Linked DNA regions of Cricetulus griseus. The protein of the gene in region 2 purifies or fractionates together with the protein of the main gene of each other region. This does not show direct contact. Links are inferred from orthologs where the notes say so. Each region holds a gene or a part of one and is shown on either strand. Other genes may lie near its edges.

Region 1 (7,820 bases), on a different chromosome or scaffold from region 2:
ATATTGGGTAGGGAGCAGTGAGTGGATCTCAGCAGGGCACAGTGCCTATGGCAAATGTTCCAATCCCTGATGAGGATCCTTAGATTTTAGTCTGTTGGTGTATGGAAAGTTATACCAAATTCAGGGCAAAAGCAGGATCTGCATCTTGTGGTCACTCTATTTTCAATGAGTTCCCAGCCTCTTATGTCCCCCTTCCTATTTTTCATCCCAGCAGCATTTGTCACCTCTTGTCTTCCCTCCTCTTCTCTGCCACTCTTGCCCTGACAGAACTCCCCAAGGCTTAATATTGAATGAATAAAGAAACTAAAAGAAAAGGAAATGAGCATGAATGCTCCTAGGCATGGTGGAGGAGAAAGTTTATTATAGATATGTGAGAGAGCATAGCCAGAGGCAGGGACATCTGGGAAGAGTCCTGAGTGAACATATCCCTGAACCCTGTGAAAAGAGTGGTGAGGGAAAGGTAGGAGAACCAGGGGCAGTAGCTAGGAGGCTCAAATGTACAAAGAGAGTGAGTAGCCAAAATGGTTGGATTATAGAGAGAAGAGCAGCCCAGTCCCCTGGGCTGGAGAGTTCAGGATAGGGGGCCAAGTATGCCAGCCAGGATGGCCTGTAAAAAGTAGGTACTGAGGGATGCTAGAGAATCCGGAGGCCAAGTCTGCTTTGATGTTAAATAGGCATCTCAGCCATTTGTCCCAGGTTTGAAACCTATTTGCCTCCATTCCTTCGTACACACATCTTGTGGAGTAACAGATTCTTGAGGATTCTTTGGCTATATATTAAGAACTCCAGAGAGAGGGTCCACCATCTTCCTGTAGTGGCAGCACTGATGGTCTCTCCCTTCTGCAAACTTGCCCTTGACTTGCACTTGACACCACCTATTGCCCATGCCTTTGCCTGTGGCTCCCTTCTAAACTCCCCTCTGGTTAGTGAAGCTGGCTCCTTGAGGCTGAGATCTCTCCTTTTTGTTAGCCCCCTTCTCTGGGCAGCTACCTCAATCATCCTTCCAGTATCTAGGACTCTGTCTACAGAACATTCCTGGGTATAGCAGTATGGATTCAAGTTGTTCCTCATCCACTTCTTACATTTGGCAGTCAGATGAGAATGAAATGAGAAAAGTGCTCTGCAAAGAAAAGGTTCATTAACAATACAAGAGCTGACTATCAAAAGGAGTCCCCTTCTTGCTTTTCTGGATCAGCTTTTCCATTACAGGGCCCTCAATTCATATTTTGAGGGCACTTCACTCATCTCCATGTCCAATCTCACCTCCCCTGTCCCTTACCTCCCACATACAGTTACCCCAGCATCCCAAGGCAATCAGATATCATTGGATCCCTTTCGCAACTCCTTCCTACACTTGTGAGTTTTGTTTCAGCCATAGCCCAATTCCTGAAGAACCCTTTATTTAGTTTCTTGCTCTATAGGTAGCTGCACTGCAATACATACCAATTGTCCCATAAACTCGTCTAAACACTGTCCTTTCTTTGGCCAAGGTGAGGATCTTGCAGGCTTTGTACACCCTGAATTGAGAAGCATTGGCTCAAGAGACTCATGAACATGTCTATGGTTTGTTTCCTCTGCATTTAGAAACTTTAAATGCATTTGGATGCAAGTCTCAGAAAACACTCCTTGTCTGAGCCCTCATCCCTTTCTCCTTTACTATCTCCAAGGGGTCATACTCTTTCTGGCTCAGATGTTTCCTGTAGTGGAGAGTTGCCATATGCATCCACCAGGACATGCATTTACTTTTCCTTCTTGGTACAGCTCCTATGTGCCCAGGAAAGCAGATCAAGACTACCTGAGTAGGTGTTAACTGATAACCAACAAATCCTTTTTCCATATGCCAAGCCCCAGTGATTACACAGGATTCAGTTCTGACCAATAAGAGAGCATTTATTTGCTGGGGCATCTGAGACAGAAGCTATGTTACAGAGAGAAAGTGCTCCTTGCTGGCAGCAAATGGTTTGATGAAGCTGCAGGCAGCCACCCTTTGATCCTTGGAAGTAGTGGTGAGGATGAAGCAGATGCTGGAGAATTCAGAGGGAGGCAGGAAAAAAGCTGGATGTTTGGTGAAATTGTTCATCAACTGCCAGTACTCCTGGGCTTTTTCACTTTTGTAAGCCAGTAAGTTTCCTGTGTTGTTAAACCAATTATTTGAAACCAAAAGCAGACTAGTTTATTAATAGAGTTCGTCTTGGTAAAAAGTCTCACATGCACCTTAAGTGTTATTTAATTTTCCAAATACATTCCCTGACTCAAAGTGAACAAGGACATTGGTAAGCTTATTATCTGAGCTGCCAGTCCACATATGTGCTCACAAGCAGGTCCCTGATGTGGTACCCCAGGTCTCAGGGAGGAGCAGGGTCTACCAGCTGCTCATCCCCTCAGGCCTCACTTTAGTTTATCATTCCATTATGGGGAGTCAAGATTTGTCCCACAAGGCCCAAAGCCCATGCAGGAGGCCGTTGGGCAAGAAAGGCCAGTGTAGTCCCAACAACATTCAGAGTTGCTTCCTTGGCAAGAGTGGAGGGGCAGGAGTAATGTCCTGCAGGTGGCTATCTTCCAGCCTCAACTGCTCCCAGGGGGTCCTCCTCAAAGGAGCTAGTACTTACATGACCTTTAGCACCCAGGCATAGGTTCAGTGAAAAGAAGAACCACTGTCTTCAGCTTACATTTCTATCTCCTCCTCAGCACCCTGAGTTTCTTCTTAAGCAATGAAGGTGTGCAAACTGAAAGTCCCTGTACACAGGTGGCAGAGGAAGCATCCGTCTCATGCTGTGGGAGAACGCTGGGTGAGGAGACCCAGGAAGAATCCTAGTTGTGACACTGCTTTGTGGAGTCACCTGCTGTCCCTCATGGATGAGACCGACTTCCAGGAGGAGCCAAGCAGATAGGGTCCCCCCAAGAAGAGCTATGTCACAAAGGCCCAGGATATTCCATCTGTGGCCCATGCTTGGCTACCACTTCACTTTTGGCTTCAGTTTGCTTACTGAACACAAGATGGCACTGCAGTTGGTGATAGCAGACTCCCACCTTGAGCCGGGAAAGAGGGAAGGAAACTTATTCAGGTCAGAGGAGTGGTCACCACTAACAGACTCAATGGTAGGGGACCTAAGTGGCACAGAAACTTGACTTAAGCCATACAACGGAGCTAGGGTATCTTTCTGATCCTCCAGCCCCTGACTTTGTCATTCATCAAGAGCACACTGGCTGCAGCAGCAGAGGGACTCTGGATGGCTACCACTTGGCTTCCTATGGAGATTTGCCAAGGGTATGCCAGACATACTAGAGGACAGGTGACAGGGACTAGTGGCTTCCTGAGGGAGTCACTTGAGTGTGTATGTTGAGTGGGCTAAATGGGAATGTTAAGGCCCATCCCTCAAAACAACACACTCTTTCTCCTACAGAGGCACTTCTACAGCTGGCTAGACTTGGATTCTGGCTGTCCCAAGCCATTGCTAGGTGTTTCTACAGTGCAGCCTCAACTGTCCTGTGGAAGGCAGAAGAGAATTCAGGCCAAGTACTTTGAGTAGTGCTTAGCACCTAGCAAGAACTGGGTACATACCAGCTATTATTATCACTATGAGCCAAACTGCGACATGAGAACACATTTAATGCAACATGCAGCTGTGGCCTGACCTGGGATTTCTCCCCCCACTCCCAGAAATGCTATTTGGAGAACCCTTTTTCCATAGACTCAGTTACTTCAGGGTGTAGAAAGCGGCTGGCCAAACGTTCAATGTCATCCAGTGTTAGGCGGCTCAGAGATCTGTCATAATCCTGAGAAGAGAAGACCAGGTGGGTTCAGGGGGTGCAAGCAGGAAGGGGTATGCTGTAATAGGTGGGGGCTGGGGCTAGAAACATTAAGATTGGAGGTCCAGAATTATTCTGCTCACCCTCTGTAGTTGTTCCAGGACCCTGCTGGTATCTGCTACACTGAAGTGACGGGCCAGGACTTTGGAGATCAGCTGCCAGAGGGGTGGGGGTGGGGAGTCGACCAGTCTGTGGGCAGACCCTTCTTCCAGCAGCACCTTCTCCAAAGGTTTAACGACTAGGTTGAGTTTAGAATTGGGCCCAATGTTGTAATCTGACAGTCGTTTCTCATCTGCCAAAGAGAGATTGGTGGGGTTCCTTCCTCATTGTTGTGGGGGTGGCCAGAGAGCAATCCTGCCATGGACAGCTAGAGTGAAACACTGCAGCATCTGGCTATGGGGTGGTGGCGTCTCAGCTACTTTTCCAAGGTTTAGTGGCAGCCACTGCTCTAATCCATTACACTGGCCTGTACATCCCGTCCCCCAACTTCCAACTTCCTACTTCCTGTGGGGGGTCCCTGGATGGCTCCTTTCCCTGGTTACCTGTTAGGGCCTTGCCCTTGAACAGCAGACGTTGCTGGCGCACAGGGACGTTCAGCTTATCCGAGACCAGATGCTTCAGTGTAGACACTAGCTCGTCCTCCGGCACCTGATCCGGCCGAGGTGGAGAGGCAAGGGCTTAGTCCGAATTCCCTGGGCGATGCAGCCCTAGTGCCCCCTCCTGAGGTTAGCTCTCCTGGCCTCCCCCGCCCGCCATTGGCCCCAGCGGCAGGAGTGTGTGAGTGTAGCAGCCTGCAGGGTAACCTTACCTGTAGGCTGCACTCCCGGCCCTGGAGCGCCTTCACGGTCAGCTGCATGATGCCCACAGCCGCGTCCACTAGGACCAATGTAAACCCCAATGGTCCCCTGCCGCGCGCCGCTGCCCCGGGCGCGCGCCGGAACCGCCCGCCGCCGCCGGAAGCCGTGAAAGGGGCGAGCCCGCCGCGTGGCTCCCGCCCGGTCCCGCCTCCAGGCCTTTGCGCCTGCCTGAGCCTGGGGTAGCGTCCACCGCCCTGGGCCCACAAGCCTCCAGCGGCTTTGGTGCAGGGAAGTGGGGCCATTCCGCCCACTGGGATAGGAGCGAGGAATCTGTAGGGTCAGGCTTGCTTCACCGGGGAGCTGTGGCTTGAAAGGAAGGACCAGAATGTCAGCCTCATGCAAGGCCTGACCTGTTAATTCCTACCCTGCTGGTGGACCACATCAGGGCAAACATGTAGTAGTGTCTCTCAGATACAGAAATGGTCCAGTCCTACCTGCCATAGCCCAATGGCTTTCTACTTCTTCCTTTCTAGTCTGGTTGCAAAAATATCCTGGCCGAGGCTCCAAAGTAGTGGACCTAGGCCTCTATCTCTTCACTCATTATAGAACAGAGTCCTGCCCTGTTCTGATAGAGAAAAGCCTTTGCAGATCTGGAGATATAGCTCAAAGGTACAACACTTGTCTACCATGTGCAAAGCACAGAGGAAGGAGAGAGTGGGCTCTGTGCACGGTCACCAAGCCTGTTCACCATCCTGGTCCATATCAACCCAGACACACTCTTCCTATCCCCATCCATACACTCCAAGGGACAAAGACTGGAAGGGACCCAAGCTTGCTTTTGTCTTTTATTGAAATATATTTCTAACTCAGCATGGCCTCTTTGGCACTGAAAGCTGGAAAAAAAAAGCCTGGATTTGTCTGAGTGCATAGTGCATGAGAACAAAAGGCCTTTGGTACAGAACTGTGGGGACAGTGGATGGAGTATGGGGGCTGGGGTTATAAAACTTGATCCAGGGTCCTCATGGAACAGGAAACAAGTTGCTGTAGATGAACTGGCCAATAACCAAAGCCAGCATCTCGGAGGTACCACTCAGTGCCACAATGAAGGGGGCCTGAGAGGCATAGTCTGCTTGAAGGCGACGCAGAGACAGCTGCAGCATAGCTAAAGCTAGCAAGCTGTTTTGTACCCCTACCTCAATGCTGACTGTCCGCCGCTGGGCCACTGGCAGCTTCAGGCACATGGCTAGGCTGTAGCCCACCAAAAGGCCAACCAGGGGCACTGTGAAGCCCACCAGTACGATGGGTAACCTGACTCCCACTAAGATGAAGACCCCCATGTGGTAGGCCAGGAATAGGCCACCCAGGAGAAGTACAAAACTGAAGGGCTTGATGACCTGTAGCAGCAGCTCTGAGAACTTAGGGAGCTTAGACTTGATTACCACACCTGCTGCTATGGGGATGGCGATGAACAGCAGAGTCCCCAGTATCTTGGAGATGGGCACGTGGAGTGTTTCATGGATGCTGAGAAGGCGGCTGTAGATGGCTGATGAAAGTGGCAAGAAACCTGTGGCAGCTACTGTTGAGATGAAAGTCATGGAGATGGCCAGGGTGACATCTCCTCCAAGGAGGAGACTGAAGAGGTAGCTCCCCCCACCGCCAGGTGATGAGCAGGTAATGATGAGGCCAAGAGCTAAGGCCTTAGGTAGCATGAAGACTTTGGCCATCAGGAAAGCATAGAAGGGCATGACCAGAAACTGGCCCAAGAGGCCCAACAGCATGGGTTGGGGGCTCTGTAGGAGCTCCTTCAAAACTTCAAGTTCCACTTTGCACCCAAATGAACATTTGTTGACAAAGATAAGAGGCAGGAGCAGGTAGAGGATTGGGTTCTCTGAGAAGTGGCCCAAGTTGGGGTTGAGGGTAGAAGGGATGTCTTCAGCAGGTGACACCCTGATGCAGAAATCTCTCCGTTCTTCAATCAGCAAAGGTGGGGTCTCATGGAGGTCCATGAGCTGGAGGTGGAGTGGGGCCAGCCCAGCCAGACCTGAGTGGATGTTCACCACGAAGCCACCCCCACTGCCCCAGGTTATGGCACTTACATTCTTGATGGTCAGCACCTCTGTGTCCAGGGATATAACCCTCAGTGTAGGGCTGAGGCCTGTTCCATTGGCCTGTCCCGAGTACTGACTAGAGATCACAATGATACCCTCACTCTTTTCAGGGAACTCAAACTCTGTCACTGAACCATCCCCAATGCTCAAATAGTGACCACCTGTCAGTGGCACAGTGTGGCCCTGAGCAGTGCTGAGGTTGGCACTGGCCATCACTTGGGCCCCCCATGGCAGGCTTATGAGCAGCAAGGCAGTTCCGAGCATAACTATGAGACCTGTACAACCACCCTGTCCTCCCAGGCCAGGCAACTGCTTGGAGCTACCTTTGCTTCTCCTGACCACCATGGCACCTTTCAAAGGATAGTGTTCGTAGGGCCCTCGTGTCTTAGGGGAACACCCTTGCTTGTGCTGTTGTAGTGTCCTGAGAAGGGTCCATGGGAAGGTCCTAGTCCTGTGTGGTCTTTCTTGATAGCAGGGCTTTCCCTGAAAAGAGAAGGGGCAAAGAAAATGGCTAATGAAGAGGAGAAACTGCAAGCTCAGGAGCACGGGGCTCTCAAAGAACCTTTTACTTCTAGTTTGGGGATACTGCTGGTCCTTGAATGTCATTCAGCCATCTCCTCCTCCAGCACAGCTGCCTCAAGCTTCTCAGCCCTCAAGAGAGGTCACCAACATATAGAAAACCCCACTCAGTCTCCCAATTCTCTGGACTTGACTACTTTGGTAACCTTACTAAGTAGTAGCTAGTACTAAGGGCTGTAGGAGAGCGATCTCTAACCCTGTCACCACTAGCCCATTTCACACTAGTTTCAAGATGCTGTGACAGCACTGTAGGAATGAACTAAACTGTTTCCTGGAGGGGCTATGTATCCTGGCTCACTGCTGTCATCCTAGCACTTGGGAGGTAGAGGCAAGAGAAACAGCAATCTAAGATCATCCTTCAGTTACATAGCCAGTTCCAGGGCAGCCTGGAGGATTTGATACTCTGTTTCCAAACAAAGCAAATCAAATAAAAATGGCTTCCTGGGGGAAACAAGGACACTAGTCAGATAAGAACAAAGAGTGCTGATGGTAGCTGGGCATGGTGGTGTACACTTTTAATCTCAGC
Region 2 (7,701 bases):
CACACACACACACACACACACACACTTACACATACTTCCAAAGAGTTGGTGAAATCCTTTTACTTTTCTATTTATGTGTTTTTCGAGGGCAATAGCTCTGCACCATTTACCTTTGATGACATCTGTCCTCAAAGCAAGCATTGAGCATTTCTTGGATGAATTCCTAGTATCTACAGAAGAATATAATTAAGAAATGTATATTGTTCACTTACTCCTTGCTGTGAAGAAAACACTACACCCAAGGCAACTCACACAAGGAAGAGTGTATTTTGACTTATAGTTCTGGAGGGATAAGAGTACATCAAGGCAGAGAGGTGTAGCCTCAAGCAGCAGGCTACAGGACATAAGATCTCCTGAAACTGTAGTTACAGAGTTTATGAGTCGTGTGATGTGGGTGCTGGGAGCTAAACACAGGTCCTCTGTAAGAGTAGCAAGTGCTCTTAACTACTGAGCCATCTCTCCAGCTCTTCTACCTTACTTTTTTGGGACAGGCTGGCTGGGCTATGTCCCAAATTTGGGACAATTTGGCTAGGCTGGATGTCAATGAGTTGCAGGGATCTGCCTGTCTCTGCCCTTCAGCACTGGTATTACAGATCTGTGGGGCCTGACTTTTATGTGAATGCTAGGGATCTGAACTAGGTCCTGGTGGAGGCCTGGCAGACACTTACCAATTAACCCATCTGCCCAGCCCTTCCCTTGGGGTTTTTACTAGAATTACATTAATTGCACAAAGTAAAGGACATTTCCACGTATATATGTAAGCATGCTTTGATCATCTCATCCTTTCTTACCCCTCCCATCACATTTCCCCTTCATCCTTCCTGCTAATCCCCCTCTTCCTTTCAGCTTCGGATTCTTTATAAGTCAGAAAACATGTGGTACCTTGTGAAAATGGCTTACTTCACTCAACATGACGGTCTCCAGTCGTCTCATCCACCTCCCTACAAACAAAAGTGCATTCTTTATAGTTGAATAAAATTCCATTGTACATGTATACAGAATTTTAAAAATTTATTTCTATTTTTTATGTATGAGTGCTCTGCTTATATACCTGCAGGCCAGAAGAGGGCATCAGAGCCTATTATAGATGTCTGTGAGCTACCACATGGTTGCTGGGAATTGAACTCAGGACCTCTGGAAGAGCAGCCACTCTCAACCACTGTGCCATCTCTCTGAGTCCCTTGTTTTTGTTTTGTGTGTATGTGTGTCTTTCTTCATTCTTCCTTCTTTTTTCTTCTTCCTCCTCCTCCGTTTTTTTTCTTTTTCTTTTTTTCTATTTTTTTGGTTTTTCAAGACAGGGTTTCTCTGTGGCTTTTTTTGGAAGCTGTCTTGGAACTAGCTCTTGTAGACCAGGTTGGTCTCGAACTCACAGAGTTCCACCTGCCTCTGCCTCCCGAGTGCTGGGATTAAAGGTGCATCACCAACGCCCGGCTTTTCTTTTTTTTTTAATATTTTATTTATTATGTATACAACATTCTGCTTCCATGTATGTCTGCACATGAGAAGAGGGCACCAGATCTCAGAATGGATGGTTGTGAGCCACCATGTGGTTGCTGGGAATCGAACTCAGGACCACTGGAGGAGCAGTCAGTGCTCTTAACCTCTGAGGCATTACTCCAGCCCCTCCTCCTCCGTTTTTCCAGACAGGATTCCAGGCTGTCCTGGAACTAGCTTTTGTAGACCAGCCTGGTCTCGATCTCACAGAGATCCACCTGCCTCTGTCTCCTGAGTGCTGGGACTAAAGGTGTGCAGCACCGCTCCCCCCCCCCCCCCGAGCTTCTTTTTTTTTTTTTTTTCTATTTTTAGACAAGATTTCTCTGTGCAGCCCTGGCTGTCCTGAAACTTGCTCTGTAGACCAGGTTGGCCTGGAACTCAGGTTTCCACCTTCCTCTGCCAACCGAGTACTGGGATTAAAGGTGTTAGCAACCATTCCCAGTTATATACAGAATTTTCTTCATCCATTCATTTATTTTTAGACACTTAGGCCGACTCTATAATGTACTGTGCATCAGTAAATACGTGAATATGGGTATTTCTATAGTAAACTAAATTGATTCTTGCAGGCATATACCAGAACTGGTGCGGCTGGATTATGTAGTGGTTCTAATTTTAATTTTAGGAGAATGTTTAAACTGATTTCCATAGTGAATGGAATTCCCGTCAGCAGAATTTCACTTGTCCCTAGTGTGACTACCGTTTTAAATTGTATGTGTGGTCCACGTATTTTTATTGGACAGTATTTCTCTAGAAGGTTCTAAAGGTTAAGAAAAAACCGGAGCAGAGAGGGGCGTTGTTCTTGGTGGTTGTTTTGATACAGGGTCTGATTATGTAGCCCAGGTTGGCCTTGGATTCAAGATGCTCCCGCTACGCTTAGCCTCTCCAGTGTTGGAGGTTTGGAGTGTGCCTCTCCCGCCCTGGGGCTGTAAATGAACCGCAGGCGACCAAAGCAACAGTCCGGGTGGTCTGTCATTCGCGAGGTGTCAAACACGCCAAGTCAAGTCGCCTGGACCTAGTCCGAGTATCCACCCTGGGTCTGTCAAAGCGACGAAGGGCGAGCGGCACACGGGGCTCGCACGCCGGTGCAGGGCCGCAGGGTCCGCAAGCCCCGTTACCCCATTCATTACCAGCGCTCCCGGCGAGCGGCCGTTAAAGCAGCAGCGTCCTGAGACACCCGCCAGGGCGTCGGGGACGTCTGCACGACGCCTAAGAAGCGGCCGGGCCGCACTGTCACCCGAGCGGTCTCCGCTCCTCGGCGAGCCCCCGCTTCGGCCCGGTCTCCCCCGGAACTGCTCGGCGGCCGAGACTCCGGCGCGCCGCCCTGTGGCGGCGGGACGCGGTCGGGGCCCGGGCGCCGGCGCGCGCAGACGCAGTTGGGTTCCGGCGGCGGTTCGGGCCGGAAGCGGTGGCCCCTGAGGTCACTTCCGGCGGGTGACGGTGCGGACGGGTCAGGAGCGTAGAGGCGGCGGCAAAATGGCGGCGCCTGAGGAGCAGGATCTAACTCAGGAGCAGACCGAGAAGCTGCTGCAGTTTCAGGTAGCAGCGAGTTCTCGGTGCAGCGCAGGCCGCCGCGGGATGGGGAGCGGGGCCCTAGAGGAGCGCCGAGCCATCCTCAGGTTGGGGTTGGGCCCCTTTTCAGAGCGGCAGGCGGCCCCCTCCCCCCCGACGCCAACTGCCCGGCCCCCCGGCCCCGAGCTCTGTCGGTAGCCAGCCTTCCAGCCTCCGCCGGGCCAGCCGCCCCGGGTCCCCGTAGCGGCGCGGGCCCGGCTCGCGCGCGCGCGGCCCCTCCGCGCCCGTCGACTGCTGGTGTGCTGTGCTAGAGACCCCAAGTCCCCATCGCGGAGTTGGCGTCAGCTCGCGGGTCCGGACCGCCCACCACCGCCCCGCGCCTTCCACAGCCGAGGCCGAGGGTCTCTTGGTCTCGGGGTCTTGCGTTGAGGGCCGTAGTAGGGAAGGAAGCGCTACACACAGCCCTGGCCCCTGCCCTAGAGAAGTGGGAGGACGCCACATGAGGAAACAATGCGACGTTAAGTACCATCGATGGCTTCTGACCGGATCTTGTTACCTTCGGCTCTCTCCTGAACTGCTGGCTCTCCTGGAGGGTGGAAACTTGCAGGACTCGGCCTCCTCTTAGTGGATGTTACGTTAACCAAAAAAAAAAAAAAAAAAAAAAAAAAAAAAAAAAAAAAAGGCACTAAGCACTTAACCGAGGTGGAGGGTCAGCATGGAGGAGACCACCGTGGTGGTCACCGTGGCGTTATTAGCCAGTTGCCTTAGTTCTTAAATGCATGACTTCAAAATGTCTGTCCCCTTGAGGGTGCTTTGGAGGTAAACTGGAGTCTATGGATGTTACAAGGTATTGAAAGGACTTTGTAAACAGTCAAAATGTGCCTAAACGGTTGCTGCTATCAACGTTTGACTTCAGATAGAACTACAGTTACTAGAACTCGTTTTCTAATAGGGAACGTGCTAAATACTCATTTTGAGCAGTTCTTAGTGCCAGACACTGCTTGTTAGAATGCCGCCCACTAAATGTGTGAGACTGTCACTAACATTGAGCATGTTACCTCGATTAGTACACAGCCCAATGGCGTTCTACTGTGACAGCCCCTGTCTCATACATGGCTATGGATTGTAAGAAGTAGCACCAGTGGGTGTGGCCCAGGACGGTAATCTCCGAGGACAGGAGGTGGAAGCTGGAGGATTGCGATTTTCTGGCCAGCCTTTTCCAAACAAAAGGAAGCAGCGTGCTTAGGTCACACAGCTAGTCGTTGGTGGTGTCACATAAGCACAGTCTTTGAGCCCTTCGTGGGCTTTTGATGTCTCTGCTGTACAGTCTGTGTGTAAGAGTGTGTATGTAGTTAACAGTGGGCTGTAACTGCTCTGATGTTGATTTTGTGTGTTCGAGTGTGTTGTTAGGCAATGTGTTGGGAGCGTGTAAATGGTAAAGTACTATCATAGGCATAGCTGACATTTTCGTGGAGTTTATAATAGAGAAATTGATGACACCAGATTAGAATTAAAGAGTGAACAGTCAGCCTTTGCTTCTTTGCAGACTACTACTTTCAGGGTTTTATTTACCTTGGCTAGACTACACTTTACAACTCTTAGGGGTAAGCCGTGTGTGAGTGTGAGTATATATGGCGATGTTTGTGTGATAAAGAGCTTGAGGAACTCCTCATCTTCTTCAGTGGACATTGTCAGAAACGGGGTGGCTGGCAAGTTAATATTGTCATAAGATTAATACACCTGTCAAGGTGTATGAAGTTGAATTTATTAAGAAAATGCATTTTGTATTTTTGTGTTCTATAAGCAAGCCTGGATCAGATTTATCTTCTCAGACTGCTCTTAAGTATTGCTTGACATACACAAACGTCAGATGTTATAACCTTAAACTTTTTTAGATGACTGTTAACCTGTTTGGTCAGATAATTTGCACAAATAGTGCTTTGCATATATTTAGAAATCCACATTCATGAGTGTTGTGTTTGTATCCTAATGTTGAAGCCAAGGTACATAACATGAATAATAGGAGCTCCCAGAAAGCCCTCTGGGGTGTATGTCTGTGTGTCTATGTGTGTGTCTCTGTGTCTTTGTCTTTGAGTTTAGACACAAGTAAACCTACTGATGGTGAAGGCGGAAGGAAGGAAGGAAGGATGGTTTAGAAGTTAATATTTGTTACCTACTATGCTTTAAGATGATGCATAACCATCATGCTCAATCCACACAGTTACCTTGTAAAAGTACAAAGGGTGTTGTGCCTTCTATGGTATCTGGTACAGAAACAGATCTGTTGACTTATTTGCTTTAGGTCCTGAAGCTGTTCGTGGAGATCTAGTGGGTCTAGCTGTGGCCTGAAAGTCTGAGCTCTTAGCACAAGACCTTTCGGTTTTGAAGAGGGTTGGAATTTGAGCAGATGGCGGGCAGGAGAATGTTTGAAGCTGGGAAAGTGGGCTTCTCACTTGGAGATGGGAAGGTGTGGACATATCTGTTGTAGGAAGTAGACCGGGAGTGACAAGGTAAACTAGAGCCAGATTTTGGAGACCTGTCAATACTATGCTCAATTCAGTAGGCAGAGACAGTCATGAGAGCTTTTCTTAACTAGGGAGTGACACCACCACCAGGTTTGGGGTTTGCTTCTCCAGGATTATGGGTCATGTGCTTGGAATTTCCATGGGTGTCAGAATAGAACAGGGTGGCACTGCTGACAGCCAGTTTTCTGTGTGGGTCCATGTTTCACAAGGTACAGTTGAACCAGGCATGTTGGTTCACACCTGTAATGGCAGTGCCAGCACTTGAGAGGTTAAGAGGATTGCTAGACTGGGCAGTGGTGGTGCACACCTTTAGTCCCAGCACTGGGGAGGCAGAGTGGATCTCCGAATTCGAGGCCAACCTGGTCTACAGAGGAGTCCCAGGCCAACCTGGTCTACAGAGGAGTCCCAGGACAGTCAGGAATACACAGAGAAACCCTATCTAGAAAAGCCAAAAAGAAAAGAGACGGAGGGAGGGAGGGAGGGAGGGAGGGAGGGAGGGAGGGAGGGAGAGAGAGAGAGAGAGAGAGAGAGAGAGAGAGAGAGAGAGAGAGAGAGAGAGAGAGAATTGGTATAAGTTCAGGCCCGGCCTGGGCTACATACTGAGTTTCAGGTTATCCTACAAGGTGAGGTCTCCAAAAGCCTAAATAAATGAATTAGTGAAAATAAAACATTTCAGGAAATTGAGATTTCTTATGTTTCTTTTTGTGATGTGATTGGGTTAGAATTTTCTAAAGCATGTGCATCATGTTTCTCAGTCCATTTGATATTTTTAAGTTTGTTTTTGTTTTGTCTTATGTGTGTATAATTCTCATGGCTCTGGTTTATTTTAGCTGAGTTTATATTAGCTGAGTGGAATAATGTAGACACTATGTTTTGAGCTATTTCCACTAGAAAATAATAGGTATATAAATTTAAAGACGAGCTGATGTAGATGTGTTTTAAATTACTTTTATTGGAGTCAGTGTCCACAAATTTTCAAATATATAGACTTCTCCAGTGCTTTAGTTTACTGCCTCTGGGCTGGTGTTTTAGCACCAAGGCAGGGATGGCATGCTCAGAAAGAAAGGAGTGATTGTACCATTCCCTAGGAGGAAGTGATCCCCTTCTGCTTGCACAGGAATGTCATTTTGTTTGTTTAATTAGAGAACTCGTTACATTTTATTTATTTAAATGTGTGGGTGTGGGGCCACACATGCCACAATACATGTGGAAATCTAAAGACACTTTGTGAGAGGCGATTGACCCTTCTGCCCTGTGGGTTCCAAGGGTTGACCTCAGGTGTCAGGCTTGTCAGATAGTGCCTTCAGTCACTGAGCCGTCCTGTCAGCTCTCTTTGTTTATGAGAAAGGGGTTCGCTGGGTGGCCTATGTAGGCCAGTCTTACCTTAGCTACTACTTGGGGATAGAGATGACAGGTGGCTACCTCCATACTTGGCTGAAAAAAAAATTTTTTTTGTTTGTTTTGTTTTGTTTTTCAAGACAGGTGTCTCTGTGTAGTTTTGGAGTCTATCCTGGCACTCACTCTGGAGACCAGGCTGGCCTCAAACTCACAGAGATCCGCCTGCCTCTGCTTCCTGAATGCTGGGATTAAAGGTGTGTGCCACCAACGCCGGCAAAAAAACAATTTGTAAGTGGATAACAAGGCATGACTCATATTCTCTTAAGTTATTTAAAAAAGAGCTGGAGAGATGATGGCTCAGTGCTTAAGAGCACTAGCTGTTTTTCCAGAGGCCCCAGGTTCAATTCCCAGCCCTCACATGGCAGCTCACAGCTGTCTGTAACTCCAGTTCCAGGGGATCTGATACCTTTATGCAAATAAAATAAAGTCAAATTATTTTTTTTAAGTTATTTAAAGCCTGGATTGTAGAAGCAAATCTATAAGTAATTTTTTGGAGTTTCCATTTGGGAATTGGAAGTTGTGGTGAGTACATGATAGTTGCCATTCATCCGTTTAAAAAAATCACAGTGATTTATTTGAGTTTTGATTTCTCTCTTCTTCTAATCCTGGCCAAGGAAAGCTACTAGTGAGTTTTACAGTCTTGGGTGAGTTCTCACATTGAGTGTCTCTCTCTCTCTCTCTCTCTCTCTCTCTCTCTCTCTCTCTCTGTGAAATGGGAGTGCTATATTATGTGATGGACATTATCCATTTTCTTTTTCTAAAAGAAATAATC

The links.
Region 1: the proteins of Faf2 (region 2) and Ubl4a purify together in Homo sapiens (affinity purification with mass spectrometry; 3 studies listed by BioGRID and IntAct, with this or other methods). This does not show direct contact. The link is inferred for Cricetulus griseus from reciprocal best matches to the Homo sapiens genes FAF2 and UBL4A.

The regions. Positions count from the first base shown.
Region 1 is NC_048604.1:1,345,845-1,353,664, reverse strand, and holds Ubl4a (ubiquitin-like protein 4A), read right to left. Parts: upstream 4,781-7,820; 5' UTR 4,667-4,780; coding exon 4,619-4,666; intron 4,459-4,618; coding exon 4,353-4,458; intron 4,103-4,352; coding exon 3,894-4,102; intron 3,778-3,893; coding exon 3,703-3,777; coding exon of another isoform or gene 3,667-3,702; exon of another isoform or gene 3,031-3,666; coding exon 2,914-3,030; 3' UTR 1,865-2,913; downstream 1-1,864. Other genes in the region: Slc10a3 (P3 protein), read right to left, coding at 5,627-7,060. UniProt on the Homo sapiens protein: As part of a cytosolic protein quality control complex, the BAG6/BAT3 complex, maintains misfolded and hydrophobic patches-containing proteins in a soluble state and participates in their proper delivery to the endoplasmic reticulum or alternatively can promote their sorting to the proteasome where they undergo degradation.
Region 2 is NC_048596.1:273,650,252-273,657,952, forward strand, and holds the start of Faf2 (FAS-associated factor 2), read left to right. Parts: upstream 1-2,970; coding exon 2,971-3,033; intron 3,034-7,701. UniProt on the Homo sapiens protein: Plays an important role in endoplasmic reticulum-associated degradation (ERAD) that mediates ubiquitin-dependent degradation of misfolded endoplasmic reticulum proteins.